Linked DNA regions of Canis lupus familiaris. The protein of the gene in region 2 interacts with the protein of the main gene of each other region in a biochemical or structural test. Links are inferred from orthologs where the notes say so. Each region holds a gene or a part of one and is shown on either strand. Other genes may lie near its edges. The genes, in order: LNPEP and TNKS2.

Region 1 (4,379 bases), on a different chromosome or scaffold from region 2:
TTCTGGGACTTCAAAATATCAATGCTTTTCCACCCTCCAGATACCACAAACTAAAAAGCATGGGGGGAGGGGGTGGAATATATATATATATATAGTTATAGTTATAGTTATATGTCTACTATATATGTATTCATAGAAGAAAAAAAAAGTCCTCCATTAATATGCTTCCAAATCCTGAATTTGCCTACCTAATTAAGTTCTCAAAAGCTCCCTTCTGGTGAATACTTCTAGTATCCTCAAAATGAAGTCCCACATTCCTGGCCCTAACCTTAGAACTCCATCATCAGATTCTAAGAGTGAGCCCTGGCATTTACATTCCTTAACATGAATTTAAATTCTTCTGAAATACTCTAATCCTGCATGTAAATGAGAAGAAATAAAGAGAAATAAAGCAACACAGTCATCAAATAACTACCTGCCATAACCTAGTACATGTATCAAAAGATCTAGAGAGTTGCCATTATTTTTTTGGGTTTTAGTGATATATAAATCACTACTTCCTAAGAAGTCATCTCTAACGGCCTAACAAGACATAATAGTTACTGCCAAATCAATCTTGAGTAACTAGTCCAGCACATCCTTCTCCCCAGAAAAGTCACCAAGAATCCAAAGCCAGACTGGATATCCAGTCTGCAGTGTAACAGTCAGCAGTCCCCTCCCAAGGGCAAGATCAAAAATAACTCCTGAGCCCAGTGGAAATTCCTGACACTGAAGTCTCTTCTTATAAACCTTTCTGGAGATAAGCATATTAAACAGGTTGAAGCAGCATGTTACCTGGACAGGTTAACATAGGATATTCATCAAATGAACCCATTATCAGCAGGCAGAGCAGGCAGAGAGCAGGGCCCAAGACAAATGGGCCACACCAGCAGCAACTTTTGATGGAAAACAGGGAAAGCACAGAAAGCCCTATTGGAATAGATGAGTACTGAAAGTCACAAAACCACAAAACAGAAACTAAATGTGCCTCTTCTACAAATTTCCAGGTCAGAGGATGAAACTATTGACAACATTTTAATTAAAAGATAAGTGGTTCTGAATTGCCAAAACTAGTTTGTTAAGCTCTCACACCTCTCCTATAAGCAGAGATATATATGAGACAGTATAAGTGGTGAAGATTTTATTAGAAGAGAGTGAATGTGCAAAAGCCAATATCAAGCTTGATAAATCCTATAATTTTAAATTCTCTGCATAAGAAAATACTCTGCACCAAAACCCCCAGACCTAAAGGAGAAGAATTAGATGTAGATATCCTCTGTACCCAACAGAATTAAGTACAAAGATAAACATGCTTAAACAAGTCCCATTTAAAGACACTATAAAAATTCTACAGCTATCCTTCAAAACTTTTGAAATAAATAAACAGTCCATCTTAACCCAGAAAAGCACCTCAAACTGCTAGGAGCTAATTTTTGGCTGACTTTAGGTGTTGTAGTTTCTATTTCCTTTTAAAGGACACTTAGATAAGCCTTCAAGGAGTGATTAACACATTAACTAAAATGCACTGTCAAACTGTTCTCCAGCAGATTGTGAAAATCTGGAAGATAGGAAAAGGATTAAAAAACCAATTTCCTACATAGACGCTGAAGCGTTTGTCTGTCTTTGTTCACTTCTCTGGGGCTTTTCCACTGCCCTCGCCAATGTGACGATTTGCAAATATTCACATACAGAGGACCATATTTTAAGAGGGGAGAAAAGACTCCAGTTGGAAGATGTGAGAATGTACTTTAATTCTATAGGCACGGGTCTACCAAATCGGCTAGCACCAGTCTTGACCAAATGGGTGACTCAGCCTTGTTGCGAGGGAATTTTTTTTTTAAGTCGAAAGTTCACATTTAAAAAGTCCTGTGAACATGGAAGCTCCAAATATTCTATCTCAGACAAAGAAAAAGGCTTGGAATATTAATTTGAAAGGACATAATGATTTATATGAAACGTATTTGACACTAAAATACTGGATGCTCTCTAAGTTTACTTCTGGTTCCAGTATTCCTTAATTCTCTTAGTGACTTTACCTGACTATTCTTAGAGCCTTAGTTATTACAAACAGAACTTGACTGAGGGATCCATCCCTGGGTGGCTCAGCTGTTGGGTGCCGCCTTCAGCCCAGGGCCTGACCCTGGAGTCCCAGGATCCAGTCCCAGGTCGGGCTCCCTGCATGGAGCCTGCTTCTCCCTCTGCCTGTTTCTCTGCTTCTCTCTCTCTCTCTCTCTGTCTCTCATGAATAAATAAATAAAATCTCTAAAAAATAATTTAATAAAAGAACCTGATTGAGAAAGAAAATGCAGAATTAAAGTTGCCACCGTTGAGCCTAATGAGACAGTGCAGACAGGAAGATGGCAGTAGAAGAAAGCACCCTGAACTAGGGACAGGGAGATTAGGATAATTCGCAGTCCCATGTATGGAACAGGCTTACGGAAAGTCCGGCTAGGGCCTGGGATGTCCAGTGGACAATGCCTCTACCTCTGGGGTGGCCACCGACCCTAAACAGGAGTAGGCGTTCGCATCTACTAATGCGACAAACTGTCCACCTGGAGCAACCAACCACCACCCGCAAGAAAAACACATGTCAGCCACAGACTGAATCGTCTTAATTTTTAGGGTCAATTCTCCCTCGCCGGCATCCTTCCTACTTTCTGGTCCCCCAAAAGGAAACCCCATATACTCCAAGTCCACCAAAACAAAAACAAAAACAAAAACGGTGAAGACATCTCACCCCTGTATTGTGACTCTAGCACTTGGGGGGTGGGGGGCCAAAGCAAAGCCATGGGTTTTGCCCGGGGTGGGATCCACCGTGTGCGTCCGCTCCGTGAGGAGCTGGGGCTGTTTGCAGGGCATCCTGCAAGGCTCCGGCTCTGGCCTCAAGTCACATTGTGAGATCAGCATGACGGACCCCCTGGTATTTAAGAGGTCTTCCTCGGGAGCCCCCGAAAGGGAGCTGGAACGCCCTGCAGGGATGGGTGGATGCGTGGATGGATGGGTGGGGGGGCCTCCCCCGGGACCCACGGCAGGGGCCCGGGGCGGGCGGGCAGCTCCGCGGCAGCGCAGGACCCAGCAGCATCCCTCCTCTGCGCGGGTCCCCCCCACCCCGCCCCGCAGCAGCCGCCGCCGAAGGACCCCAGCTCCCTGCACCGCAGAAGTTTGCAGGCAGCGGCCGCGGTCCGACCCTCCCGGCCCTAGAGCCGCGGCGCGCGCCGCCTCCGCGGGGGCGAACCCGGGAGGCCAACTTTCCCCTCCGCCGCGGGAAGCCGCCCGAACTTTGCGGCGCGCCCACCCGGCCCCGGCGCCCGCGCCCGGCGGCCCCGACCCGCAGCCAGCCCCGGGCCCGGGGGCCTCCGCCGCCCCTGCCGCCCCCGCCCCCGCCGCGGCCCCCGCGTGTCACCGCGGCCAGCCGCCCTCCGCGCCCCGGGGCGCCCGGCCCCGCCGCCCGCCGCCCGCCGCCGCCCGCTCACCGTTAGTAAAGGGATCCATCTCCCCGCCCGCCGCCGCCGCTCCTCGCCGCCCGGGCGCCCCGGCTTCCTCCTCCAAGCCCCGAAGCGGCGCTGCCGACTGAGCATGCCCAGCGCGGCCGCCGAGGGCTGCCGGGGAGGTGCCGCGAGGGGCGGCGCCGCTCCGCCGCTCTGAGGCTCCGCCGCTCCAGGTTTTTGCAACAGCCGCAGAGAGAGCGCGAGGGAGGCCGGAGGGGAAAACACCGCACGGCCCCCGGGGGCCGGCGCCTGGGACAGGCGGGGGGCGGGGCCTGACGGGGGCGGGGCCTGACGGGGGCGGGGCTTGCGGCAGCCCCGCCCCCGGGAGCCTCGCAGCCGCCGCGGGGCCGCAGGACCGGGGCCGTAGTCAGTCACTCAGCCAAGGAGACGGCCTCGGGGGCCTGGGCGCCGGGAGCTCGGCACTGCGCCCCCCACAAAAAAAACAACGACCATTGCCCCGTGCGGGGAGGGGGGCATCCCGGAGACAGACACTAAGCAAACACAGAGGCGCACAAGACCGAGAGAACTGTCCCGCCGAGCCTTAAATCGGGGCGGTGGCTGCAGAGAGCGCGCGGCTGTCCCGACGGCCGGGCGGCGCCCCGAGGCCGCACCTGGAGGCGGGGCGGGCGCCCGCGGGCCAAGGTCGCTGCCCAGACTTCGAGGCTTCGCTTTCCCGGCGGAGACGGGCTCCGGGTGGCTCGCTCCGCCGAGGAGGCCCGAGGGAGCAGGTGCTGCGGGTCATGTCGGGAGGGCCGCCCGCCCCTCCCCGGAGCGGTGCCCCGCGGTCGCCGGCCGGGACACAGACGCGACGGCGCGGGGACCTGCGCGGAGCCCGCGGAGCCCGGGGGTCAGCACGCGGGGGGGGGGTGGGCGCGCCTCTCCGCGCAGGCGGGCCCCAAAACCCGGAGCTGG
Region 2 (4,567 bases):
GTGCTCTCTCCCTGCTCTCTAAAAAAAAAAAAAAAAAATAAATAAATAAATAAATAAATAAATAAATAAATAAATAAATGTTAAAAATGGCTTCTCAAATCATTTAGCTAGAAGAAATGCAATCTATTTTATTTTATTTTATTTTTTTTTTAATTTTTATTTATTTATGATAGTCACACACAGAGAGAGAGAGAGAGGCAGAGACACAGGCAGAGGGAGAAGCAGGCTCCATGCACTGGGAGCCCGACGTGGGACTCGATCCCGGGTCTCCAGGATCGCGCCCTGGGCCAAAGGCAGGCGATAAACCGCTGCACCACCCAGGGATCCCAAAGAAATGCAATCTATTTTAATAATAAAAAACACCAAGTTGAAGAAATGTTCCTATTTATGTTATTTTTCATTAACAGAACTTAACTCCTTGGGAGTAGACTACTGGGAGCAAATGACTATTCTTTTAATTTAAACATTTTAGATGAAAAGACAGACTAAATTTTTTCTAAACTGTTCTCTTATCATGATTCATTTCCTTGCTGCACAGATCTCTCATTCTTATTCCTTGGAAATCAAAACAGAAAGACAAAAATGTGTCCCCTCCTCCCAAAAAACCTCCAAATGTTAATTGGTTTAAAACAAACACCCACCCCCCCAAGCTTATCCTACAATGTACAAACACAAGAAACTGCTTGGTCAGGCAGTTTCACAGTCCCCACACCTACACTGAGTTTCCAATGGCATGTTTACATGCACGTTAATATGACTGACACTATCTACAGAAGATTATAAAATACATTTTCCACATATAGGAGAAAATGCAGCTGGATGAATTTATTTAAAAATTAAAATAGGTTCTCTCATTAATGAATAACTCAGACTGAATTTACAAAGCTAATTTTTTTAAGTTTCTTATATGCTTGGGTTTAAATGCAGGGCTTTTAATGCTCTTGTTTACTGTACGCCATTAGACATTTTTATTACTCTGCTTTTACACCTTGAATTATTGGTTGTATAACCTGTACCAGATAATTTGGGTAAATAGTGAGATAGGTTAGTTCCCAAAACAAATTTTCCATTTGTCTGAGCCACATCAAATCTATGTAAAAAAGTGCTTTGAAATGTTGGGACAGAACTAAGGGTAGGATGGTGGAGGAGGAACAAGGTCAATAAAAAGCTAATCCCATAACCTCTAAATATTACTATTTTCAGATGTGAACTCATTAATACACCAAATTCTTGAAAGGTAGCAACTAAGATCTTGCTTCGCTATTTTTATCCCACAGATCAAGTGAACAGAATCTAAGTAACACTACCCTTTGGATTACTTATCAGTTATGATAGTTTGCCAAATCAGTTGTTTAAATGTTGATTACACGGCTAAACAGGACAATCCAAAATAGCTGAGAAAAGACAGCACTGATCACCAAAATTTTAAGCAAAATGGCAAACAGGTGAGATTTGACTTCAGTGTTTTTCTCCTTTCCCTTTCTGCTACCCACAGGCTGTTTCTAGCTATCTCACCCAACTTCCCTCTTAAAAAGGCTCCCCAACAGGAACCTGACAAAATTGTAACTGATAAAGCATACCTTCTAGTATTCAGATTTTAAAATAAGGACAAATTAAAGCAAACAAATCAAGTAAAAGCAATGTCTGTGAACAAGGAAATTCTTCTTACACTTTCTCTCATTGTGCCTACTCCAAAAGACGGGTATCATTTTACATTTCGAAATTTTACATTTTCGAAAAACTATTTTAAATAATCATGTAATACAAAATGAAAAAAACAAGATTATTACAAGCATGAGAACCTACTCCCATTTTCAATCAGGATATAGTTAGAATCTCTTCTCCAAGTGAGAAGTATAAATGCTTTATGGAAATATACGGTCTCACCCCAGTTCTTCTAGATTCTTCAATTAAACTTAATACCTTTATATCACAAAGTCAATCTAGTAAATATTAAAGGAAAAGTAATTCAAACGATCTAAATCTCAGAATAAGGCGAGGTTGGCCCCAACTTTAATTCTAGGTCTAAGCTAAAGTACCTGCACTACCTTTTCCTCTCATCCTCCACTAGTATATGTAGCAGCCACGACCCACCCACACCCACCTTAAGTTAGATCTCAGTTCGCCCAAACGACTACTTGCAGTTCTAGACTCTCCAAAATCTTGCTAATGACTGACTACCCCGCTAAACCCGTTAACAATAATGTGTCAATGGCTAATTAAGCGACCCCGTAAATTACATCCTTGCATTTTACAAAGGCCTTTAAGCCCTTAACCCAAAGGACTGACAACAGTCATAGTGGAACTTGCAAGAAAGACAGATTTTGGAGATAATTGGCCTTTCAAATCACAAGGTCTAAGTTCCCTACTCTTTCTTGTGTATGGAAGCCTTTCTAGAGTAGCAAGACCGGAAGTTGGTACAGGTATTGTTGATACTAAACAAAGCAAAAAAAAAAAAAAAAAAAAAATTCCAGTTGAGTGGGGCACGCTCGCCCCCTAGCCCCATGTCCTCGCTCAGTCCCCAATCAACGAGAGCGGGGTGACCAGCAGCGGAGTCCGAGGCGGAAAGACGGGGGCAGAGTGTTTGGTTTCAGGCCCGAGAGCCGGGACGGGCAGGTGGGGTGCAGGGCGAGGCGAGGCGAGGCCGGCGTGGGTCCCGGTTACCTGCGGCGAAGTGGAGCGGGGTGGATTTCCTGCCAGCCGTGTCGCGGCTGTTCACCTTCTCCGGGGTCACTAGTCTCTTGACTCGCTCCACGTCCCCGTTGCGGCACGCCTCGAACAGCTCGCGGGCGCCTGGCTCCACGGCCTCGGCCGCCGCGCCAGCGCAGGCCGCGCCCCCGCCGGCGCAGCGGCGGCCCGACATGATCCTGGCCGCCGCCGCCGCCAGCAGCAGCGCGAGCAACCGCAGCAGGAGCCCCGGCCCTGCGAGCAAGAGGGCGAGGCCCCCTGAAGGAGACGCGCACAGGGCCCGGGCCGCTCGGCTCCCTGCTGTCACCGGGCTCGGCGCAGTCCCATGGCCGCGCCACCGCCCGGCCCTCGCTCGGCCCCGCGACCCCCGGCTGCCCCTCGGTGGCGGAGGCAGCGCGACCCCGCCGTTCCAGCCCTGAAGCGACGCGGCAGCGGAAGCTGGCAAGGCCCCTCCTGCCAGGTCCGCGGAGCCCTGGGAGGGCCGGTGACGTGGTGCCGCGCGTGCGCAGCGATCGGAGACCGGCCCGACCGATTTCCGCGCCGAGGCCGCGCGGAGGGGTTTGTGGGTAATGTGAGGCGAGGCTCTTCGGCGGCTGGAGGAGAAGGGGCTTCGTCCCACCGCCATCTTTGCAGTGGGTCAGGCTGAAGCCGGGTGGTTTTGTTTCGCTTTGTTAAGGCATGGATTTCCCGAGCTGAAATTCCTTACTGTTATTACCCTGAAAAGAGCCTTTGGAAGTGTCCCCGCGATCTGGCGTATTGCTTTGGAATTCTTAGTGTGGAAATCCATTTTTCAACTTTCACAATCCCTTTCCTGGGGGGGGGGGGGGGGGGGGGGGGGGGGTGGATTTCTTTCCCGTTTTCTTTCCTGTCTTTTCCCTTGCCTTGCAACTGCTATTCTGTTGTTTCTTGTGAGTCACATGTGGAAAACGAATGGGTTGTTTCCCACTTCGTGGGAAGTTTGGATGAGCTGCCCCAAGTTCATTTAAAGTAAGTTAGGAAAGTGATGAAAGTGTGTTCCGATTCTAAATTAATTGAGAGCGATGGTTCTGATACGTTACTCTTCCACAGTCATTAGCTCAGAACTTACGAACGGGCCCACGAGTGTATCAACATTGTACTGACTTGGCTGAGGTGTGGACACAGTGGGCATACGCATCGCAGACAAAGGTTAATAGTTTGCATTGATATATATTAATTTATATAATACTTACATATAATATACGAATTATATATAATTACATATTAATATATGTACACATATACACATATATAGGTCTGCATACGTATATAGACCATCAAAGAAAAGCGCACAGTTAATTGTCACGCTTAATGTAGTGATCCAGCTATTCCCTACTCCAGGCCCTGGCCTCAGGAAACTGCGTGAAAGTGAGGTATGGTTACATGAAATGACACATGTTGACCTTTGGCATGCTGACAAGCATTTTTCCCTTGTTGTCTTTAACTTCTTAACCTGTTTTTCAGGAAATTCAGTTTCTGTTTGGGAATGTTGACTCACTACTGTGCAAGAAGGTAGAGGATGTATGCTTTTAGGAACATTTTTGTACATATATAAGTTATATAATTATACATACATAATTATATATGTCGTGTAAATTTAAATTATATTGCATAAACTGAATATCCATGGGTGCATCTAACTAAGAACTAAAGCACCAATACTATTACATCTATCTTTTTCTTTTCCATTTCATCCATTTGCCAAATGTATTTCCAATTTTATTATTCCCTGTATACCAATTTGCCCTTGTTAAATCCTTTCTACTGTTTGGTTTTACTTGTTTTGGAGCTTTATAAAACTGTCAGTCTTTGTGGTCTTTTTTCACTTAAGTAGATATTTGTAAGTCTCATGAATTCGTTT

What was found.
Region 1: the proteins of TNKS2 (region 2) and LNPEP form a complex in vitro, tested with the Homo sapiens proteins (4 studies listed by BioGRID and IntAct, with this or other methods). The link is inferred for Canis lupus familiaris from reciprocal best matches to the Homo sapiens genes TNKS2 and LNPEP.

Annotation. Positions count from the first base shown.
Region 1 is NC_049224.1:12,803,289-12,807,667, forward strand, and holds the start of LNPEP (leucyl-cystinyl aminopeptidase), read right to left. Parts: upstream 2,815-4,379; 5' UTR 2,769-2,814; coding exon 2,717-2,768; intron 1-2,716. UniProt on the Homo sapiens protein: Release of an N-terminal amino acid, cleaves before cysteine, leucine as well as other amino acids. Degrades peptide hormones such as oxytocin, vasopressin and angiotensin III, and plays a role in maintaining homeostasis during pregnancy.
Region 2 is NC_049249.1:6,462,105-6,466,671, reverse strand, and holds the start of TNKS2 (poly [ADP-ribose] polymerase tankyrase-2), read right to left. Parts: upstream 2,879-4,567; 5' UTR 2,864-2,878; coding exon 2,665-2,863; intron 1-2,664. UniProt on the Homo sapiens protein: Poly-ADP-ribosyltransferase involved in various processes such as Wnt signaling pathway, telomere length and vesicle trafficking.